Linked DNA regions of Alligator mississippiensis. Each later gene encodes a partner of the first gene's protein in a complex. Links are inferred from orthologs where the notes say so. Each region holds a gene or a part of one and is shown in the gene's direction. Other genes may lie near its edges.

Evidence for each region. The genes of interacting proteins can lie anywhere in the genome.
Region 2: EFTUD2 (region 1) and PLRG1 share a complex: the UniProt entries of both Homo sapiens proteins name them as parts of the minor spliceosome. The link is inferred for Alligator mississippiensis from reciprocal best matches to the Homo sapiens genes EFTUD2 and PLRG1.
Region 3: EFTUD2 (region 1) and CWC15 share a complex: the UniProt entries of both Homo sapiens proteins name them as parts of the minor spliceosome. The link is inferred for Alligator mississippiensis from reciprocal best matches to the Homo sapiens genes EFTUD2 and CWC15.

Annotation. Positions count from the first base shown.
Region 1 is NC_081827.1:161,814,821-161,822,625, forward strand, and holds the start of EFTUD2 (116 kDa U5 small nuclear ribonucleoprotein component), read left to right. Parts: upstream 1-4,762; 5' UTR 4,763-4,872; coding exon 4,873-4,977; intron 4,978-6,234; coding exon 6,235-6,400; intron 6,401-7,059; coding exon 7,060-7,138; intron 7,139-7,805. Other genes in the region: CCDC103 (coiled-coil domain-containing protein 103), read right to left, coding at 1-210, 1,187-1,319, 2,422-2,573, 4,282-4,407. UniProt on the Homo sapiens protein: Required for pre-mRNA splicing as component of the spliceosome, including pre-catalytic, catalytic and post-catalytic spliceosomal complexes. Component of the U5 snRNP and the U4/U6-U5 tri-snRNP complex, a building block of the spliceosome.
Region 2 is NC_081825.1:94,680,898-94,688,796, forward strand, and holds the start of PLRG1 (pleiotropic regulator 1), read left to right. Parts: upstream 1-4,834; 5' UTR 4,835-4,929; coding exon 4,930-4,938; intron 4,939-7,185; coding exon 7,186-7,292; intron 7,293-7,521; coding exon 7,522-7,664; intron 7,665-7,899. UniProt on the Homo sapiens protein: Involved in pre-mRNA splicing as component of the spliceosome. Component of the PRP19-CDC5L complex that forms an integral part of the spliceosome and is required for activating pre-mRNA splicing.
Region 3 is NC_081824.1:447,192,896-447,200,992, forward strand, and holds the start of CWC15 (spliceosome-associated protein CWC15 homolog), read left to right. Parts: upstream 1-5,032; 5' UTR 5,033-5,142; intron 5,143-5,709; exon of another isoform or gene 5,710-5,712; 5' UTR 5,713-5,717; coding exon 5,718-5,848; intron 5,849-8,097. UniProt on the Homo sapiens protein: Involved in pre-mRNA splicing as component of the spliceosome. Component of the PRP19-CDC5L complex that forms an integral part of the spliceosome and is required for activating pre-mRNA splicing.

The DNA of each region.
Region 1 (7,805 bases):
GGTGGCTTCTCTGTCTTCACCACAGACATTCTCTGCCAACAACCTGAGGAACTCGCCCAGGAGGCCAAAGCCGAGATCCGCTTGAAAGATTTTGCCCAGGCCTGTGCCTCCGAGCTGCAGTAGGAACTGGTATTTTTCTTGCCCACTTTTTAAGCATCTGCGCCAATCTCTGTAGAATTCTGAAGAGGTTTCAGGTAATCGGTCCAACCCCTGGAAAGAAAAGACCAACAGCAATAAGTGAGCACCAGGCTTCTCCTGTTTCCTTTCCTTTCTACTTCTGAAATCCCTCTCATTAGTCTGTACACACTGATGACTGTCTGAATGTATGTGTGTGTAAGGGGGTATGGGATCCTAAGTAAACTGGCAAAACTCCCATTGACTTCAATGGGGCTGAGATTTCATTCCAAGGAAAGAATGGATGGTGGTCACACAAAACAGGTCACCTGTGGTAACTGAAGTCACAGGAAGAAAGGTAAAATAGTGCTATGGCTCAGAAGCCAATGAAGAGACAGCAAACAAAGTTCAGGAGTAAAAGGCTAGTTTTCACCCTGGCAATAAGGGAACAGTGGCAGAGACAGGATGTAGGACTAAATGGAGATCTGATCTACTCAAGAGATTTCAATATTTGGGATTTGTTTAGGGCTTGTTCACATATGGAACTGCTATTTCTTCTGAGTGGTCTTTCCTCAGGTTGGGGGAGGCCTGCTTTTTCGAATCCTCATTCTCTGCAACCTAACATCCACTGCTTTCTCTACTGAATGGCCTCTGGTCTGTTTTGAATTTCACACGCTATCTTGTTCTGCAATAACTTTCAGATGTCAACAAACCAATAGTGATGGAGGATTCATAGATGTAGGGTCGGAAGGGACCTTGTAGATCTTCTAGTCCGACCCCCTACACTGGGCAGGAGAGAAAACTGGGCTCAAATGACCCCAGCCAGGTAAATGCTGAGCCTCCTCTTAAAGACCCCAGGGTAGGAGCCATCACCACTTCCCTTGGAAGTTGGTTCCAGATCCTAGCTTCCCTGACTGTGAAGTAGCGCCTTCTAATGTCTAGTCTAAACCTACTCTCTAGCAACTTATGGCCGTTATTCCTTGTTACTCTGGGAGGCGCTCGGCGGAACAAGGTCTCTCCCAAACCACGCTGGTCCTCCCTAGTAAGTTTATAGACTGTTTTTTTTCCTCACCTGGGCTATTTCCACCTCGCTGTTCTGCTGGCACTTAGCTTGGGTTGCACAGGAATTCCACAGTAGGTTTTTCTTTTTTCCAAATTTATCCTTTTTTTCCAGGGGCTTCAGGTGTGATGCCTGCACAATATCCCTATAAGCAAAATCCTGTAAGAGCAAATACCCTCCACATCAACACCAACGCAATCCTGCAGGGAAAGGAAGTTGACTGGGCCCTGCAGGGGAAGGGATTGTGGCCAGGCCCCAACCCAACTCTGGGGTGGTGGTGGCCTGGCCCCAAGGGGTTGGAAGGGGTGCCCCAGCTCCAATAATCCAAAAACAGGGTGAAAGGAAATGGGGTGCTCTAAACAGCTGCACAGGGCTTGGGGTTTTGGCAGCAGGGAGAATGACTGTATTAATGTTCACTGCTCCCCCACCATCACATTTCTGGACCTGTGGGGAGCCCCATGGGCCAAATGAGTTGGCTCCATGGGCCACTATTGGCCTGTGGGCCAGAGGTTGAGCACCCCAGTCTAGAAATAAAAGTTTTTCCAGCCAAATGATGTTGGTTAAGGGTATGGTTTTTGTTCTCTCAGTTTTCTAGCAGATGCAGTTAAATGAAAATATAGGTGTCTTACATCAATATATAGCCTGTACTAGTTCCCAAATCAAACTAATACAAGCTTTTTTTATACTAGTATAACCACATCCACTTTAGAGGGGTTTGCCACTTATGCTGGCAATGTGTGTAAGATCTGTGCTGCGAAGGCCAGTCCCCTTTATGAGAAATGTTATAGTATGGGTGCTAAATAAACCTTTCCTTTCTTTTTAATTCCATTCTTCTTTGTTTTTAACACATCTTGTTTTGATTCAGATTCCTAGGGTCTGAGTAATTTCCCCACAGAGAGGAATATCTCATGACTTTTCTGAGAAGCTGCAGGATAGAGCTTTTGGAGTTACACGTCCCTTACCCAGCAAGTTGGCCTAGACAAAGAGCTCCTATCACAAGAAACTGTGTTGCCATTGAGTTGTGGGTGAAAGACATGGACCTGGTCACACATACTCCTTATTGCTTCAGACACTCTCACAGATTCAGTCCTCCTCACACAGGTGGGAGGATATGACAATACAACTTCTGAGCAGACAGTGTCACTACATGACACTCAGAAATACAAACTTTCATCCTGATGAAAGAAACACTGGATTGTTGTATTCCCAACTCCAGACTCGCCACATGAAACAAGTTGCCTGCAAACCTAAATTCTTCATAGGATGCCACCTTCTGGTGAACAGCTCGAAATTTGGCATCATTTTCTCTCCAGTACTTTTCATCAGCAGCAACAGCAGCCTGTAGTTCTCTCTCCAAAGCACAGAAATCTATTGCTCCAGATTTGTCCATGATGATAACCTGAGAGCAAAACATAATTAATGGCATGCACAGACCAAACAATTATACCAGTTTACTGTGACTCATGCTGAACCAACTTAACTATTTCATCTGTCCTCTCTGTATCAGTGTAACTTTACACCTGTTTCATTCAGTTTAATTCTGTTTATGCTGGGATGAGAATAAACAAGATGAAGCAGTTATAAGTGGTAAGTCCCTTTTACACACTATTTTAATATAGTGTATAACTGCATCTCTGATTTAGTTACTTTATAACGTCTGGCCTGCAGGCTGGATCCAGCCCATCAAACTGTTCCATCTGGCTTGCTGGTAGTCCAGCAGGCTACCAGAAGTTGACAGCATAGCTAGGAGGCGTGGTGTGCATACAGCCCTCGTTTGCCTCGTGCTCATCCCTGGACCCATGCTGTCACCAGCCCCCAAACCAAGTTACCTCATCCCCTGCCCTACACACCGTTGGCTTTGCAGATCCAGCCCAAGAGACCTTGGGGTCTAAATCTGGCCTAAAGTGCCAGGTGAGTTTGACACCGCTTATCTACAAGGTGCAATTCTACCCTGCCTGCTGCCTGACTTCAGACTAACATGACTAATGACCTCTATCTGCCCACAAGCCAGAATTACTTGGGGTGCATGAGCACCATGCAAGGGGAATATTCCTTGCTCTTTCACATCCTGTATATTACTTGAACTCTTGTTAGACTTGCTGCACGTATCTAATTATTAAAGGTGTACCAATACATTGGTCCCATATTGGATCAGCACCAATATAAGGCAAATTGAGTGTATCGGCTTTTTTTGGCTGGTGTGGCCAATAAATGCCCCATACATTCGCGAAGCTGCAGCACAGCATGCAGGCAGCCAGGAGTGCAGCCTGGCAGCATGAAGAGTAGACGGGTCTGGCCGGTAAGTCTATAGGGGGGGGCAGATTGAGGCCCCCATGGTGAGGGAGGGAGTGGGGCTGGGGCAGAGGCAGGTGCTGCCCAGCAAAGCCGGGGTGCAGGACTGGCCGCGCACAGGGAAAGGGGGTGATTCTTGCTGTTGTGCGCACCCCCAGGGGAGGCATGGGGGGGGGGTGCCCCTGAATCTGCGCGCAGGCCGAGGGCAAGCTGCCGCTGGGGGCTGGGGCCAAGGCAACACTGGGCTCTTCCCAGGTGGGGGGGCTGGACCAGGCTGTGCTTGGGGAGGATGGCGGCAGTGCTGGGAGGGGAAGTTGGGAGGGCTATGGCAAATTTTGGGGTGGCTGAAGCCCCGCCCCTAGCCCCACCCAGTGCCACCACTGCCCACCCTGAGCACAGCCCAGCCCAGCCCCCCTGCCAGGAAGAGCTCAACACAGCCCTGGCCCAACCTGCCCTAGCCCTGCACGCAGATGCGGGGGCACACGCCCCGCATGGCCCCCCCAAGGGTATGGGCAGCGGTGGGAGCTGCACCCCCCACCCCACACCTTCCCAAATGAGCCACTCCTGGCTCCGTCCTGGGCCCCCCAGCCCCACTCCCTCCCTCAGCGCGGGGTCCTCAGTCTGCACCCTCCACGGCCCTTCCCTCCCCCCACAACAGACTTATCAGCGGGAGGCTGCTCTCCACACTGCCCGGCTGCACATCAGCGATTGGAACGGTATCGGCTGAAACGGCTCGTTAAAAATCGGCCATTGGTATCGGCCCCCAAAAATCTATCGGTGCACCTCTATTAATTATACAGTGAGTTCATGCAAACCCCAATCTGAAATGATGACTTTGAAGTTGGGCCCAACTTTCCAGGGCACCTGCGTTCCATCTCAGCTGAGACAAGTCTCAGAAGAACACAAGAACTGCCCTTGACTGGGTCAGACCACCAGTCCATCTTGTCCAGTCTCCCCTGTCACGCCGCACTTCGGACCCCAGAGCGCTCCCCGCCGGGCCCGATCCCGGCCCCGGGGCTGCCCCGACACTGGTTCCCCGTCTCACCGACCGTCTCCATAGCAACAGCGGGACGCGCCGCCGAGGCCCCTTCCAGCCGGGGCTGCCCCACCCAGCGCCTGCTCGGAACCCAGACACTCCTCCCCCCAAAACTCAGGCCGGCCGCTCCCCACCCAGCCCCCGAGCTCTCCCCACAGCGGTTGCCTGGTGGAGGGGCACTGAAGTGACCAGCCCCTCAGGCGGGCAGCTTGGCCACCCCCCACGCGGTGGGGGGGGGGTCCTTCGACGCGAGCGTCGCACGGCGGCCGGCGCGCGGGAGGGCAGGCGCGCGGTAGCGGAGCCGGGTGCGTGTCGGGGCCGCTTTCGGGAGGGGAGGCGGAGACAGGCCTCGTTTTCGCCCCTTGGCGCCATGGACACGGACTTGTACGACGAGTTCGGCAACTACATCGGGCCCGAGCTCGACTCGGACGACGACGACGACGAGCTGGGCCGGGAGGCCAAGGACGTGGACGAGGTGCGGCCCCTCCCCGCGGGGGGCGGGGGGCCGCCGGGAGACGGGGCCCTCTAGACTCTCTCCCGTCTTCTCCGCTCTTGAGAGCTGGCTTTTGCAGGCAGAGGTCCAACCTGCAAGGGGTTGCTTGGGCCCCCCTGCCCCACACAGTGGGGGCTGGGGCGTGGGGGCAGGAGGCAGCAGGTCGGGCGTGAGGGGTCAGGACTGGCCACTGATGTTTACAAGTGGGTCCTGGTGCAAAAAAGGTTGAGAACCGCTGCACTAGGTCAGATGGATAGTGGGGGAGAGGGAGAGAAGGGCGGAGAGAGAGCGAGCGAGTTTTCACGAGCTGACACTTGCTTCACTTATGAAGTGAGCTTCAGCCCATGAAAGCTTGCATGCACTCACTCTTTCTTTATATGCATGTGTGTGTGTCTTAGTTACTTCCTAAAGGGGTGTATTGGCCTTGCCTCCTGATATAATGGAGAGACAGAAGTAGTGTTTATAACCCCAGAGCAGAGGCATGGTCACTGGGATGTGTTGTGTGGTGAAAGGGGCTGCACCTGATGACCCAGAACAATGTTCCTAATGGTGTGGTTGTTCAGAGTTGTTTACAGGCAAATGAAAAATAGTCACCAGTTTACCACGCAGATTCTTCATAGTTTCATAGTAGCTAGGGTCAGGAGGGACCTGAACAGATCAAACAGTTTTCTGAACAAATCTTATACAGTTAGAGTTTCATGTGCTGTATTTTGCAATTGTGCTTTGATGTGGAGCGTAGCCTGGCTTGCTGCTTGCTTGGCAAAACTTTGGTAGCCTATGTACATGTACAGAAGGCAACATCTTGTGGTTGCACAGAATCACAGGGTTGGGAAGGACTTCAGGGGACCATCTGGTCCAACCACACCTGCATGAATGTAGGAATGATGCTCCTAAATCATCCACATCCAGTGAATATTTGCATTTGGCAGTGGCCTCTGGAATGGATTCAAGGTGGGGAAAATGGCTGTTAAATAAAAATTGGGAGAGATTGTCAGCACTCCTGTCTGGACCTGTTTCTGATCAGTGCTAGAGATATTCAGTCCCGGTGCAGGTCCCAATCTTGGTGTAAGTCAGTGTGGCTTCCACCTGTGCTCATGATTTGATATGTGACCACAAGCGTTTTTCTATCCTAAAATGGGGTTGAGAATACAAACCTTAGAAGGGGTTTTGTGGATCTTAACATCTAAAAAGCTCTTTGAGATTGTTGGGTGGATAAAGTATTTCTGTTGTCGGTTTCAGCTTGATGATGATGACGATGATGACGATATGGGAGACCATGATGAAGATCACCCTGGAATGGAGGTGGTACTGCATGAGGATAAGAAATACTATCCCACTGCAGAAGAGGTCTATGGGCCTGAGGTAGAGACTATAGTGCAGGAAGAGGATACACAGCCTCTCACTGGTAAGTAATTATAGTCAGTAAATCAGATTTCTGATCAGGAAAGGTTTTTGTTGGCAATCATGGAAGGAAGAAAGGCTCTGAAATCCTGCTGGTGGTGGTATTACTTGCATCTTCTCAGACATTCAGTCTGTTTTGTCTTTGGCATTTTAATAGAAATTCTACTGAGAGTATTAACAAAAAAGAATTTAATTCATAAAGTAAAAGAACCAAGTCTCTGCTTAAAGGGAAAAAAGTGATAATGGAAATTGAGTTAAGCCTGCAAATGAGCCAAATATTTGGCTCCTTACCAGTTTTAATTTGCCTTATAAAAATCCTTTTCAACCTCCAAACTCCCAAGACTCTTTCCACTTTGTTAAAGATGCCCAGAGGCATCAGTGCACCATTGCGAACGCCAGAGGAGTTCTGTTGTGAGATGTGCAGAGCATACACTAACTGTGGCTGAAAAGATCTTAAAAGAAGGCAAATGAAAATCTGTTTCAGTTATGTCTTAATCTTCCCCAAATAAAGCAGTTAAAGTGGTGTCATCAACCTTAAATATCACTTTTTTTGGTCTAGTAATATGCTTAGTATTGTCTCAGTTAATGCCTTAGGTTAATGTCTCCAAACATCAGCATTTTAAGAACATTTTTTTTCACTGTAAAATTTTATTTTGGTTTCAGAGCCAATAATTAAACCTGTGAAAACCAAGAAATTCTCCCTGATGGAGCAGGCATTACCTGTCACTGTATATGAGATGGAGTGAGTACTGTATAGTTTTTTGGCTTTGTTTTTTAAGTGCACATCTGGTTTAGCTCTCCTGTATTTTTTTTCTCTTTCACTTTCCACCCAGGTTTGCCACTGGAGGGAAGGAAAGTTGGGGTGTGTGGGGGTTGCCTTGAGGAGAAAGCTGCTGCAAATTGAAGGTGCAGCCATTGTGCCTTTTAGTAGTATTGGAATCCTATTAATGTAACTGCCAAGGCAGTAACTTTCTGGTTATGTTTCTGTTCTCTACACAGGTTGCTCCTTAGTCATCTTGTTCTCACACTTTCTTTATGCCGCACAGATTGATCTTGTGGCTCTATTAGGCATGTTTTCAGCTTTCTCATGACTTTTCTTTGAACTCTTCTCATGTTGTTAAAATCATTCTTGAAGTGCAGACATCAGCACGACACACTGCCCTAGCAACGCTTAGTAAAGTTACTGGTAAATACGAGAGGTGCATTACCAGTAAAGTTACTGGTAAATACTATGCCCCGTGCACAAATCCGGGGCACACATGCCCCCCATGTTTCTCCTGTGGGTGTGCGCAGCGGTGGGGAGCCGTCCCCCTCCCTATACTCCCTGGCCAAGATGCCTGCAGGGTCACATTCACTGCCCTGGCTGGGCAGCACCTGCCTCTGCCCCGTCCCACTCCATCCCTTACCGT
Region 2 (7,899 bases), on another chromosome or scaffold:
GCAGAGGCATAGCACCTTGTGTTTAATATTCATGGATAAAATAAATGGAGAAGATCTTGCACCTTTTGAAAGAAAAGGACCAAGTTAGAAACTAGCCCTCCTGCCTTCCAAAGCAGCACACCTCTTATTGAGCCACTCTCCCTCCGTTTCAACCTCTTTTTCTTAGCCCTTTTGGCTGCCCAGCTTCAAAAGGAGTGCTGGAGAGGGCACCTGTGACTTGCTTTTTATAACAGAAAAATAATACGGCAATTCTTCTGTTGCAAAGAATTCAGAACAGCCACAACAGATCAGAATGCTTTTGACACCATGGATTACTTTTTGGAATCTCTAGATTTATCCTGTGAATCATTTAGGTGTTGGCACATGCAACAGTGCTTATATAGCAGGGCACCCTTAAAAGGATCTCATGGTACCCCAAGATGCTGTGACACTCTGGTTGTGAGTCAGTGGCCTAATCTGTAGTGTGGTGGTGTAACAGGGAACTCTGCTTTGGGGGAAAGAGGGCAAGGGTGGAAAAATCAGCAAGGCCCATTTAAAGCCAGAACTTTTGTAGCCCAAGGAGGAGAGGGGGATAGCTTGCAGCAGGAAAAGCCCTTCCAGAGTAGCCAGAAGAATAGAGGTCCCAGCTACCAGGAGAGAGACCCAGCTGAGCAAGAGAGAGCAAGCTGTTTGTTGAAGGTGAGAGCAGAAACCTCCTGAAGCAAGATGACTGACACTGGGCTATGGACTCACTTCTGCAGAGCCTAGCTTGCAAACATCTGGCTGAAAAACACTGCACTGAGTGGGAAGGGGAGGTTAGCTATACCTGGGTATGACGTCCGTGGGCCTCACGTCCGGTACCGCCCTTGGTATGGTAGCCCCTCCCCCTCGTCCCGCCTGCCATGACTTGGATGTTAAGTGATTCGAAGGAGGGGTTCAGTGGAGATCTTCTGCCAGAGGGGCTTGCCTGACGTAAAGGGGGGTACTCACGGTTGGGTCCTCAGATGTTCCATGGGGCTCCGCCACCCCTACACCCCGTCCACTCGCCAACTGGTCACTTGTTGATGAGATGGTCATCCGCTGCTACTTGCAGCACTTCTTTCTGGCAGGCCTCCCCGAGGCCAACGGTCGTCCTCAGGCAGCCTGGCTCCGCCTCCGCCTGACCCGGCCGCTAGCTCGGGTCCTTTCCTTTCTTCTCTCCCCTGCTCTCAAAAATACTGCTCCTCGGGAATGGGAGAACTTCCCGAGTTGCTGCTCTGCTCCCAGCAAACCCTGGGAGTCACTCCTCTTGCCCCGACCGGGGCTTCTGGCTCTCGCCCCAGCTGCTGGACTGATGCCCAGTTGCCTGCCTGAGGCTCTGGCTTTGGGGAAGCCGCAGCGGCAGTGACGTGCTGCACGCCTCCTCTCTCCTCCTCTGGCTTCCCCCTTTCCACGGGGTTTGTCGGGGCTTTCAAACTTCCCGCGGCAGCCGCTGCGGCTGCCGCGATTGGCTCAGCTGCTCCCCTTGTTGAGAACAGCTGTTTAAAAAGCCGGCGTAGTGCCGGCTCGCGCGGCCGTAATGGCGGCCGCGTCTGCTGCTGCGGTCCCAGCTCTGACGCTGCCATCCCTCCCGGGGGTGAGTAGCCCGGCCCGTGGCTTTCTTGAGGTGGTGTTGTTGCCCCCCTGTCCTGCCTATCCTCTGCCTGTACCCGTGATGGCGGCCCGTCGCAGTCACACTGGGCCAGATGAACAGGAAGCCTGGCCAGCTGACAAAGGTGGCAGAGATGACTAGGATATAAACTCCCCGCCAGAGTGGAAGGTGGGGGGGAGGGAGGGGAGGACCGACCCAGTCCAGTCCAGTCTAGTCCAGTCCAGTCCAGTTCCATCCCTGTGGCTGAGAAGGATGGAGTGTTCCAGAGAGCCAGGAACGAATGCCAGCCTGGCAAGAGCACCTGATGCCTGAAAGGAGGAGCCCCTATCAGGGAAGAAAGACTGAATGAATGAGTGCATGCAAAGCCCTGGGGGATTCTTGGTGTTAACTCAGGAAGGATCCTGGGGAAGTGGGCACCCAGAAGACTGAGAGCTGTTTATGTTAACCCAGGAGGAGCCCTGGGGAATGAACAAACCTAGAGGAATGGTGACCATTTACATTGGCCAGGAGAGGCCTGGGAGAGAGGGTACAGCCCAAAGACCTTTTATGTTAACTTGATTGGGGTCTACTTTTCTTTTTGTTATTTCTGCTCATACTGCTAATACCACCCAGTGGACTGGAAGGGGCCATGGAGGGGGTTGAGGACTAGTGGACCGGAGACCTGGGTGGGGTTGAGGCCCAGACAGGCCAGGGGCAGTGACTAAAGACAGGCAGGCTGGAGCCCAACAGGGCAGGGTCCCAGCCAATGATAGTGGCTGACAATGAGAGTGAGGGAGAGAGGGGTGGACCTCTGTGCTGCCTGGTCAGACCTGTAGTTGCGAAGGAGGAGGGGGAAGTAAGGTACCCATGACTAGACTTTGGTTACCCAAAGGCAGTCTTCTAAATAACATATCAATTTATAGCATCAAGGCATGGCAGGAGGGAGAGAGGAGCCAGATTAGGATGCCAGGGTAGGCAGATAGGTGCCAGAGGGCCACCAGGGAGCCATGACCACCCGTGAGGGGTACACCCCATTACAGTGGTCAAAAAGAAGATTCAAATCCTGTGGCCTAGAAGGGGGAAGCACCCCCTCTATGCTTCCTTGGGAAATGTCCTAACCACTTAGTTACAGTTACCACCTAACCACTTCCTAGAAACCTATACTTATACCTATGCATTGGCCAATGGGTATGTGCAACAGTTACATATCTACCACACTATATCGGTAACAGAATTGTAAAGTGTATAAGTGACAAAAAGGCTATTTATTTAACGGAAAACTACCATGTAGACACACAAAGGATAACAATTCCCTCTCTCTGCCTTTATTAAAGACCAAATGCAAGCAATGTGGATGTATATGTATAAATAATGCTGATACATAAAGAGATGCTTGTAACTACAAATATATTCTCTTGGTAACTGTATGTTAAAAGGTAAGTGAAAATGTGCTCTTTGAAAAATAGGTCCTTGCTTCTTTAGGCATTTACTCTTTGTTAGTTGATGTAGTTATCCTAATTTGACATAACAGTACAGTTTTCCTTTTAAAGTTACATTTTACAGTTTTAGAATTATTTCTCTTTTTACACTTCACTTCGGCTAATTTCACACTTAAATCTTAATACAGCAGAGCTCCAATTAAAAATTTAGACTCTTCCAAAATACTCCTCCATTACACAGCACAAAGAAGAAGTTGGATTAAATCACAAGACATCAAGTCCAAACTCACAGAGCAATCCTATAAAGATATTTGCTCACTTTGGCAGTAAAGACTTGCTCAGCAGGCTCTAACCAGTGTTATAAAGGCTGAGTTAAATACTGGGCATCTTTTTGAAAGCTAACTACTGCACTCATCTGTTCAAGATGTGTAATTGTAATTAGTATATATACTTACGTTCACCAGCTCTATACAGCTGTTATATAGTTAAATATATTCACCATCAAGAAATCGGCAACATTGGATGGTAGAAATAAGGCATTTTTGTTTGGCTAAAACAAAAATATAGAAGTCAGCAGCTGTAGATGAAGTTGCCAAAATATACAAATTCTAAACCAGTAAGTGTCAACCTTTTTTGGCAGGCATATCACAAATTAGACCCACATCCATTCCTAGTTCCCCCTTCAGTTGTTCTTCCTCTGCCTGAGTTGCTGCTCTGCTTTCTGCTCTATCTGCAGCTCCCTGCTGCCTCCCTGATTTGCTGTCTGCCACAGACAGAGGCTGCCTATGCCACTTAGGGCACATGTGCCGCTGGCTGTCCCCCTCCCCCTCCCCCCCCAGTCTTTTTTTCAGTTGATTTCAACTTTATTCAAGATTTCTCTTTTGGGTGAAATTTTCAGAATTTAATTTCAAAGTGTATGTGGGTGTGGGGGTGTGTGTGGGGGGAGAGATTAAAGTTTTAGCAAATTTGAGTAAGCTATTTTGGAGTAAAAGAAAGTGGGGGAAAATCCAGAGATATTCTGCCTATTACACTGAAAAATGAAAGGTGGGTCAGCTCTGATCTCATATTTAATTAAAGCAGCCTCTCAACCTATCTTGAAACCTATCAAATGTCATAAATGTGATTTCAGATTTTCTTTCAATTTAAGATGGCCTGCCACTTATGATTTGGATTCAAATTACATATGCCTGTAACTTTGTTAGAACAAAGCTAATTCATATACATTTGCAACATCTAGTATGGATAGAATAGATAATTTAATGACAAAAAGAGATATTTAAAAATGTGATGAGAAGTGAGTTTTAATGGAAGCTATATTTAAATTTTATAAGACTGATTACCAGGCTATTGTTACAATACAATAATACCCTGCTACCAAGTTGCAACTTTATCTATACTGTTCACTATGAACCTGATGTTTTAATACAGTAATGTGTCACTGCCAAAATTGTATACGCTACAGATTCCTACCCCACCCCTGCCACAGGAGACATTAGTTCAGTTTCAAGAAGTTTGAAGGTAATCTATGAAACTCCTCTATACAGATCTCAAGCCTCATACTTCTCACAAAATTGGCTATAGGGCTGCAGCGGCCGAGGGTGGCCCTCGGGCAGCCGGGGCTCGAACCCTCGGTCCACTGGGCCGCCCAGAGTCAAGGCCAGCCGTCAGCCAGGGCGCGACCCACCCCCTCCCCTCACGCCCCACCCCCTCCCCTCACGCCCCGCCCCTTCCCCCTATTGGGCGATGTTGCGCTCCGCCTCTCCCCCCCCACTCTCCTCCTCCCTCCCTTTCCAGCGCGGCCTAATGTCGCCGGCTCTCGCGAGCGGGTCGTGGTATCGTCACTTCCGACAGGGGCCGGAAGTGCTTTAATAGCGGTTCGGCGGCTGCTGTCGAGGAGGCGCCATGGTGGAGGTGAGCGCCTGGTCCCGCGCGCATTCCCCGTCAGTCCTCGGGGCGGGCTGGGGCTCGGGCCGGTGTCCCGGCGTGGGGGGGGCTTGAGGGGCCATGCACAGGGCTGGAGCTGGAGCCTGAGCCCCGGCCTCCTGCAGCCTCTGCCCGGCCACGGGCCTGGGGGGCGGGGAGGATGCATTGACTCTGAAGAGTTCGGACGCTTATGTCCGCGCTATAAATGAATTGTAAATGCCTACCTTCCCGGCCAGTAAAGCACAAGGAAGATAGGTTGCAAGGTCACTGCACTCAGGGGACTGGGCCAGGTGGCCTTGTTGCACGTCATGTTGGCATTGCACCTGTCACCAAGACAAGGGACTGATCTGCGGTCGTTTACAGCTACCAGCACTTCCCATATAGTGTGTTTGGCAAATGCGCTAGCATAGGAGTTGGGTTTTTGGTTGCATCTGTGTTGCTTTGAGGCAGGCAAAGGCTTTTTGAATGCATGTGATATCTCTTGTTATATTATATAAACTTTTATTGTATATATTTATCTCAGTTGGTCCAATAAAAAATGTCACATCTACTCAAAGAACTTTGCTGAGCAGAGGAGGACCCCTAAGATGGTGTTGGGCAAGGGGTGTTTCCCTCCCTGGTGGGAGGTAAACTCAGTATCTGGTCAGTGTCCCCCAAGATCCCTCTAGTAGCCTGGGAGAAATGTAACTTTGGGTATCAGATGTGGTCTTCAGCTGTGGCAAGGGAAGATATTAAGAAGCTTAGATATTTGGAAAAACTTTCTCACTAGGAGGGTAGTAAAGCACTGCGACAGGTTATCCAGAGAGCTGGTGGAAGCTCCATCCTTTGGGGTTTTAAAAAATCTGGCTAGACAAAGCCTTGAGTGGGATGATCTCATTGGGAATGGTCCTGCTTTGAGCAGGGGGTTAGATATAGAGGTGTACTGATATGCTGATCACATATCAGATCAGCACTAATACAAGGAAAATTAACATTATCAGCAATTGGCCTTTTTTTGGCCAGTGTAGCTGATAATGTTACCGATAAATGCCATATGCATGCACACAGACACAGCATGCACGTGGCCAGGAGTGCAGCCTGGCAGCTTGGAGAGCAGCATCTGGCTACTAAGTCTTTGGGGAAGAAGGCATAGGAGGAAGGGTAAAGGGATGTAGTGTGGTGGGGGCCAGATTGAGGTCCCCACAGTGAGGGAAAGAGTGGAGCAAGGGCAGGGGACACTGCCCAGCCAGGGCGGTAAATGTGGGCAGCTCTTTCAGGGACTACTACACACACCTTCGGATTTGTGCGTGGGGCTAGGGCAGGCTGCCTGCTGCAGGGTCAGGGGCTGTCCTCTTCCTGGTAGGGGGCCTGGGCTGCACTCAGGATGGGAGGGGGTGAGATGGACAGCAGTCCTGGGAGGGGTGGGCTACAGCCACCCCAAAAATTCCCTGTAGTCGCTCCTCCCAGTGCTGCTGCTGCCCGCCCTGCCCAGCGGCATTCCTTTAAATTGGCTACTGAATTGGTATTGGCTGATATGTCTGGTTAATAATCGGCCATTGGTATTGGCCCAGAAAATCTTTATCAGTGCACTCCTAGTTGGACTGGATGACCTACTGAGGTCCTTTCCAACCCTAATTTTACTTTGGTATTGTTAATTTTGTTAGTTCTTGAATGGTGCTTTTGTACTTCAAGAAAAAGCAAAGCAATTACATCGATAAACCAAGGCCTGCAGGTTTTGGAATCCACAAGAACATGCTGTTTCTTGCTAAGAGGCATGCACACATGTGCCATCATCTGTGTGGTAGTTCTTAAATGATCTTTCTTTGCCATTTGTTTGCTCTGTGGTTGCAATCAAATGAGTAGGCCTGCACCACTGATGCGCCTGAACCATTTGTTTTATTGTCTATGTATAAACAAAGAACCAGTAAGTGTGAAGGACAAGCTTTTATCTTCAGTTTGTATTTACCTCAGTGGTTGGAATTGGAAACACAGTTGGTCAAAGTTTTGGCCTGCTCTTCTTTATCATGAGACTATCCCAAGGAAGGAGTGTTATTTTAAGTGAGGGGGCAATGAAACAATTTATCAGGCCAAATCTGTAGCTCCCAGCTCCTAAGGATGGCAGTGTACTCTTCTACAAATTCAGTAGTGTCTGTTTTGGTTTGTTTTTTTAATTACTAAGGAGAAAAATTACTACCTTATTTAATTTATATTGCTGTTTTTGATTCTTCTTTAAATTTTTGTTATGGCTTCTTGTAGGATGTACAGAAACATTCTGTGCACACTCTTGTGTTCAGATCCTTGAAGAGGACCCATGATATGTTTGTGGCTGATAATGCAAAACCTGTATCGTTGGATGAAGAAAGGTAAGTATAGCTGTCACTAGCCTGTTGCTGTGTCTTAAAATGTTAGTGTATACAAGTAATTGCTTTCTTTTATCCAAGTCAGATTGTGTATGTTCAAGCAGAACTACTATCTAGAGGTGGTGAAAGGAAAGCAGTAGAACTGACATGATTCTAAATGATTTCCAAAGCATTTTAAAATTTGCGGTTGTTCAGAAGATCAAGTATTAATAAATTTTGTTCTCTCAACTAGTCACAAGGTAAAGATGTCAGTTAAGCTTCACACAGAGTATGGTTCTGTGTTGCACATGCCTACGCTGAAGGAAAATTTGAGAGAGAAGGGTTCCCAGGGTGTGGTGGATCCTTATGGACATAAACAATATTCTGCAAATCAAGGTTAGTTTGCCTTTGCTTGTATATTTTGAATATTGTCTTATGATATGAAATTTAATCTTAGAATTGCTATGATAATTTTACAAGATAATTCTCTGATCATTCTAATTGAGAGAGAGATTTAGAAGGAAAACTATCTATTTTTATTATCCTGTGTGTAACAAGCTTGTCTTTTTAGAATGCAAGTGATTCAGAACAAGGGAAGTCTTTGTCAATATTAGACTGTAAGTTTTGGTAC
Region 3 (8,097 bases), on another chromosome or scaffold:
AAGTGGTGGTCCTTAAGCAATCTCTGGCTCTAGCCAGGGCCAAGAGAGATGGAGGATGCTGAGATAAATATTTTCAAATCAGCAGGCCCCAAAAGCATGCACTTGAGAGTCTTAAAAGTGTTGACTGAGGAGATGTCCAACAAACTGCTGTTAGTTTGTTACAGATGGTTGAATACTGGGGAAATTCCAGAAGACTGGAAGAATGCTTAGATGTTGTAGAGTAGGAGTTGGAGTTGAGTTTATCCCTGCATGCATACATCCACCTACAGAGATGCAGAAAAGAGCCCTTAAAATTATTTAGTGAATGAAGAAAATGTTTTGCAGTGAGAAACAGAAAAGCTAAGCCTGTTAACTTCTCAAAAAGAAAACTGATGTGACTTAATCACAATGCATAGACACTTTCTTGGGGAGAAGATAACGGATACTAACAGGATCTTTATGAACCATAATCAAGGCACATCTTGAATCATTGTATAAAATAAACTGGTTGAGTTCCTTTAGTCTGTCTCATTGCAAAACATTTTTTCAGCCCTTTAATCATTTTTCTAGCTTTCCCCTACATCCAGCCCAGTTTCTCAACATCTTTTTTTAGAATCCAGAAGTGTTGGGTGGTTAATAGATTCTTAATTCTTCCAAACTTTTAATAAAAGGCTTTACATTAGTATTTTAAAAATTCCTTTCTAACCACACCCTAGGAGTGCTCCCTTATCATCTGGCATCATGAACCTGGGCAAAGTTGTCATTTTCATAATTATTATTGTTCCTGTTTATTTGTATCACTATTGTGCCTAGGACTAGAACCCCATTGTGTTAAGTGCTTTATAAACATGGAACAAAAAGATGGTTCCTATCCCCCAAAAGCATGAATTTTCTTATTATTTTTATGTTGTTTATATATATATATATATATATATATATATATATATATACACACACACACACACACATACATACATATATATACATATATATGTATATACACATACATATATATACACATATATTATACTTTTTTTTCCCCTCCTTTTTGTCACCTGCGCTAAAGTGCCTTTCCTCTATCCAGCATTTTTTACTCTGCAGAGCTAAGAAAATGGACCTTTGCTTTGCAGAATTTGCCCTTCCCTGTGTTAGGTTTATCCTGCCCGGACCTGGAGCTGGAGCTGGGAATAAACATTCTCTCAAGGTGTGCGTGTGTGTAGGCAGGTCCCTCCTGATGTACAATACAATATGTTGGTCAGTTATGGAGCACATATTCTGTAATCACTGGTGTGAAGGCTGTGAAAATGTCAGTGAGCCCTGTCTGCTAACTCACCCCTAGCTCAGTTGCTCCATTTCTTTCACTATCCCCCCAAGAGTTACTCTCTCAACCACACTAAAGATTCCACAGTAATTTTGAGCCTGCAAACACATCTGTAGGTTTACACCTACAGGAGAAATGTAGACGCTGCTGGGATGAAGAGCAGCAGCCAATTATCATCCAGCACCCTCATGTTTTGTGATGTCACTTGGGCTGAAAGACAGCAAAGTAAAACCCAGAGTAAGAGAGAAACTCTAAAAACCATCAAACAAAAAGCTTAAAAAAACCCAACCTGAGACTGAATGAATGCACCTAGTGCCATGCCCTGGGACCCATTAGAGCTGCACTCGGGAAAAGTGTTGAAGGAACCACATTTGGGAGGGCAGGTGTTCAGCTAGGAATGTCCTGCCACCACCTCCAGAATTCAGCCCTGGGTAGGGTTACCATACTTCCAGTTCCAAAAAAGAGGACACCAGCCAGGGAGGATACCTCACTCCCAACCCACAGCCCCATGACCCTGCCAGTGCCCCTCACCCCCAACCTGCAGCCCCCCGTCCCTGCTGCTGCCCCTCACTCCTGACCCACAGACCCCTGGCCCTGCCGGTGCCCCTCACTCCTGACCTGCAGCCCCCCTAACTCCCTCCAGCAGGGCTGGAGGGGGTCTCCAGCTGCCCCCATTCGAACTGGGTCAAAACGCAGCAGCTACAGTGGCTCTGGCTCGTGCGGGCAGCAGTGGAGCGAGTCTGCTCCTAGCACAGGCTGAAGGTAGGATGAGATGATACCTGTAACACCCCCTGCCCCAGGCTGGGGCTTCTGCACTGCGCCAGGTGGGCTATCTATGCATCCTGGCCCCCGGGCAGTGTTTCCCAGGTGCCCTGCTCCTGCAAGCATGGGTACCTGCCCTGGTGCCACTAGCCCATCCGTGCAGCTCCCTGCTGCCCCCAAAGGACCCCCCACCCCTTCCCCTGTTGAAGGGTCAGGTGTCTCCCTCCTGCCCCTGTGCCCTGCCGCACCCTTTGCACCCCCCCACAGTCATGAAGCCTTGGCTCTCCAACCCCTGTCCTCACAGCCTTGCCTACATCAGCTGCTGAGGCTGCTCCCACCCCCTGCCTGGCTGCGTGCCAGCCACAGATGCACCTGGTGACCCTGCCTCCAGTCACCAGTGGAGCGGAGCGGAGAGGAGCAAAATCCCAGATATTCAATTACATTTAGAAAAACTGCCTGGACAGAGATCGGAGGACCCAAAAAGAGGACATGTATGGGAAAACCCAGACATATGGTAACCCTAGTCCTGGGGAACAACAGAGCTAAATTCCACAGCTGCATTGCACAGATACAGTGCGTAAGAAGCAGTCTCTGACATAATCAGATGCCAAGTCATCCAGTGATGCAATACTCACTGGGTAGAGGGAGATAAGGGGCTGTGTTAGACACAGGAAAGAGGCAGCTTATCCACTAACTGGTGCATCTCTCCCTGGCTGTCGGGCCAAGGGGAAGGGCAGCTCCTGATTCTCTACCCTTAGCTTTTGGGGCCCCCTGCTGGATAGTCTCATCAGCTGCAGCCTCGGCAGGAGGCTGTGCTTGGAAAGTTGCTGCCCTGAGATTGTAAGCACACAGATCAGTGGTTCTCATCCTTCTTGGACCCGGGGTGCCCACCTCTGGTCTGCAGGCCAAATGCAGCCTGCAGAGCCAATGCACCTGGCCTGTGGAGCTCCCCACGGATCAGAAAATTTGGTGGTGGGGGAGCGGTGGCCATCCTCTCCCCCTGCCATATTCCCAAACACCAAGCCCATGTGCCCAGTCACAGCCACGCCAGGTCACCTTGCCCCTGAGGGGGAACAAGGCCATGCTCCTTTCCCCTTCAGCCCTGTGAAGTCCCTTCCCCGCTGCCTGGCTGGGACCAGGCCAGGCTGTTGCCCAACCTCCTCCACGTGGCCAGAGGTGGCTACTGCATTGACCCTGGACTCTGGATCAGAAGCCTTATCTGGCCCGTAGTCGGACCAGGTGCTGCCGATTGGGCCCACCGGGGAAAAAGGTTGAGCACTGCTGAAGGCACCCCTCATTAGGCTCAAGACAACCAGAAAGTGGCAGCTCTTGGCATTCACTTCTTTCTTTGGGATTGGAAAAGAGGGAGCAGACACATTCTTGCAGGAAAGGGGCATCAGGAGTTATCGAGCTCGGGAGAGAGGGGCACGGCCTCAGAATCAGCACTTCCTAAACCTTAAATGCTGGAGGCTGTAAGTGAGAGAGGAACAGGGGAGAAAACCCTGGTCAGGCCCAGGTCCCGCTCCCTTCCACTGTCTGCTGTCTGCCCCCGTGTGACACAGGGCACTGGGCCAGCCGGCCCTGGGGCCTGACCCAGTCCCTGATGTTTATCATCATGACGACAAAGCAACAGAGCGATTCTGCTGCTGCAGAGACCGGGATTCTGCTGCCTGAGCGTGCTGCTGATGCCCAGGATTCCCATGGGAATCATGTCTAAGCACCTGCAGCCCCTAAATGTGCTAACAGCGGGCTCAGCTCGCGGCACCCTTCAAAGGATCTCTGGGCACCACCTGGGCACCATGGCTCCTGGATGAGACTTGCTGGCACGGAGCAAGCAGCCAGGCTCATGGGGTGGGGGTGTTGCCAACCTGGGAGCACTGGGATGGGCCCACAGATGTGCTCACAGATGCCTCCTCAATCAAGAATATAACGAGTGAAGAGACCGGACAAACAGAAGGACGATTTGGGTGGAGGCAGAGGGAGAGCACTGAGGGGTCTTTTATGAAACTCTGACATTCTCAAGGGAATGGTGGTGGGTGCACGGGCAAACTTTGTAATGGGACAAAAATAATGTAACTGTTGAAAGTAGGGTGCCAACTCTGTTTGAATCTATCCCGGGAGGTTTAATCACATGATGTAATGACATTAATGACGGATCTACTGACTGTACTCAGGAAGGTAAATGCACATGACTATTACATTTTAAAAACACACTGGACTACTGTATAAATCGGATGCGACATTTCATAATTGATTTTAATGAATGCCCTATCATGCATCTCCTGGGTGACTCTTGGCAGTCTCCTGGAGCTTGTATCTCATTCCTGGGGACTCCAGGGCAATCCTGGGGGGGTCGGCAACCCTAGTTAAAAGTGTGTTTTTGGTCTCTCAAGTGAACCACAGCAGTCGCATGACAGCTTGTCAGAGGCAGTTGTCTATGTTTAGTTATATAAAGTGTTTTTTATATATATATATATATATATATATATATATATATATATATATATACACACACACACACACACACACACACACACACATATATATAGTTATATATATATTTGTATAGTTTAAATAGTTTTATATATATGTAGTTATATACAGCTTATTTATATATATAGTTATATATATACAGAGATATATAGATATATATATATGTTTAGCTGTTTATATTTATTAGAAATAAACATTTGGGCAAAAACTCAAAAGCCCCTACTGCCACTGAGCGCCCACTGCGCAGGCGTCCCGGGGGCGGGGCCAAGCACTCACAGGCGGGCTCTGCGGCCAATCAGCGTCCGGGGGGGTGCAGCGGGAAGCCGCCGTCTCCACAACAACCTCAGGGCGGCAACTTCCGCCTCCGTAATCATGGCGGACACGCGGCCCGGCCTCGGACGTGACGCATTGATCTGCTCATAGGCGGGAAGCGGCTGAGCCTGGCCCCACCCCGCCCCGCCCCGCCCCGCCCCTATGGTCTGCGCGCGGCGCCTTGTGGGACGGCGGCGGAGTTATGGTGGTGGCCTAGGCGCCAGGCAGCGCAGCCGGGAGTGGCGCGGCGCCCGGGGAGGCGCGGGGCTAATACGGTGCGTTGTGGGCGGGGGGAGCGAGGCCTGCTCGGGCAGGGGAGGGGTTGCTGGGTCCTCGCAGCGCCTCCCGCCGGCAGAAGGGGGGGGGAGGAGCCGAGAGCAGGCCCCCGCCGCGCCGGGCCCCGGCGGAGCTGGAAGCACCGGGGGCGGCGCGGTGTTGGGGCAAAGGGGCATCCGCAGCCTCCCGCCCGGCCTCCGGGTCACGTCCTGCAACGCTGGAGGCTGCGAGCGGAGAGGAGCCATTGAAACAACCCCCCCGGTGACACCAGCTGCTGGGCAGCCTGGACCGAGGGCCTGGTCCAGCAAATGGCAAATTTGTGTGTTCTTATGTGACTCCTCGGTGGTGTCACACTTCAGCCTGACCCGCTTGAAAATCTCCCTCCCTTTCAGTATAACGAAATGGTTGCCGGCCGGGTTGTGACAGGCCGTGTTGCAGCCCAGGTGTGTGAACGCCTCGCGTTAGGAAGCGTTCTCGACGCGGTGATTCCTAGATAGCGCACCCGCGGGTACGTGTCTCTCACCACAGTTAGTAGTAACGGCCATATTTTGCATTGGATTCCCAAGTAGCTGAGATGACAACAGCTGCCAGGCCAACGTTTGAACCTGCGAGGGGTGGGCGAGGAAAAGGCGAAGGAGACTTAAGCCAGCTCTCCAAGCAGTACTCCAGCAGAGATCTTCCTTCTCACACTAAAATCAAATACAGGTAAGCGCTGGTTTGTTTCTCCTGAAATATTTTGCGCAGCGATTCTTCGTTAAACCTAGTTTGAGACGCGAGTAATTATTGAAAAACAAGTACTATAATTATTAGCCCTCTGCGTGGAAAGGGGATTACTGCTGAACTAGAAAAAGAACTGCAAGCTTTAGCCTAAGGGGCAGATACAGAAGATAAAATGGATTTGAAATTATTAGAGTGTTTTATTATTGAATGTACTGTTAACTTGCGGTTTCTGGGTACCATGATGGAAGCAGGTATTCAGAAGTGGTCTGGGTACACAGAGGGTGAACTGGATAAGAAAGATATCCTGCCCCCAGAGGTTGTTTTGGGAAAGGATATAGGGACATGTTAGACAGGAAGACGTAACTGTATGCATATCATAACTGGTAACATTTACAGAACAAATAAGGTGATGAGACATGCTAAAAATGGTTTTTGAGGTTGGATGGGGTCTTAAAAAAAAAAAAAAAGGACAGATAGTTTTGAATGAACATATTGATTAAAAAATAACCTGTGGAGAGACTGGCAGGTGGAGGAGGATAATAGACTCGCATTGGGCAAGGTAGATCACTTGGCAGTTTTGCCCGTTCACTTCCAGTATCTTCAGTGATGTTTTCCTTTACTTTTATTACCAACCACATTCTGAAAGTGTTTGTTCTTTAGGTCAGAGGTGTCAAATATATGGCCTGTGGGCCAGATCTGTCCCATGCAGCCCTATCATTCAGTCTGCGGTGCTGCCTGTAGGTCTTGGATCATCCCCATGTGCTGCATGTGGGATGCGGGGCTGGTCGGGATCAGGGAAGTAGACTAGTTCCCCACACAACATGGGGCTGGCATGCTTACTGCATGCAGTATGTGGGGCTGGTCCAGGAAGCATGCCAATTCTAGCATGCAGGGGGCAGTCTGTATACCTGATTTCAGCCTGTAGACTGGCCCTGTGCCTCTCATTTGATCTGCTGGGCTGGATGAGTTTGATGCTCCTTCTTTAAGTTTATGATGGCTTTTTAGTAGAAGGAATGTTGTTGTGATTTTTCATTTACAGAGGGCAGTGTAGGCAAAAATGCATACGAGTATATAATATATAACTTATTGTTCTTTTGGATGGTTTTTTTTTGGTATCTTCTGCTATTCTTCCTGAACACTGATCTAATAGGTTGGCTTTGTTAAATATATAGCCAGAACTTCATCACACAAATTTAAAAGTGGTCACTTTAGTCCGTCACCTCTTTTTGAATGACACGGTAACATTTTGGATTCTTGTGATGGTAACATCAATTGTGGGCACTCCAGTTCCTTGTTCTTATTTATACAGTAGGAAAATTGAACAATATGTTAATACTTATGGTATATTTTATAACTGCTGAAGTCTAGGATTCCTTTAGGTATTGTAAGCACTTATTTCTAGAAGTGAGTTCATAGAGGGGTGGAGTTCATTCCTGTTCATTTCACTTGTTTTACATTCTTTTAATATTGGCACCTAAAATTGAACAGTCCTTGGAAACCTTATATTAATGTGGGTTAATATAAATCAACTTTGCTGACAGAGACTTCTTAAGTATGCATGAATGGAAATATTGTATATAAAAATTTATTGATGTGCTTTTTCCTACTTAGACAATTAGGGTTGGAAGGGACCTTAGGGGAGGTCAAGACTGTTCTCAGTGGTGGCAGATAACAGAACAAGGAACAACGGGCTCATGTTGCAGAAAGAAAAGTTTAGGTTGGATATTAAGAAAAACTGTCTCACTAAGAGGGTAGTAAAGCACTGGAACGGGCTACCCAGAGAAGTTGTGGAATCTGCATCCTTAGAGGTTTTCAAGACACCGGTAGACAAATCCTTGGTTGGGATGATCTAGTTGGGGACAGTCCTGTTTTGATCAGGGAGGTGGACTAGACCTCCTAAGGTCCCTTCCAGCCCTAATTTTCTAAGTAGGAAAAAGCACATCAATAAGTGTTTATATACAATATTTCCACTCATGCATATTTAAGAAGTCTCTGGTACCATCACAAAAATTAGGGTTGGAAGGGTCCTTAGGAGGTCATCTAGTCCAACTCCCTGTTCAAAGCAGGACTGTCCCCAACTAGATCATCCCAACCAAGGCTATGTCTACCGGTGTCTTGAAAACCTCTAAGGATGTAGATTTTACAACTTCTCTGGGTAGCCTGTTCCAGTGCTTTACTACCCTCCTAGTGAGAGAGTTTTTCCTAATATCCAACCTTAACTTCTCTGGCTGCAA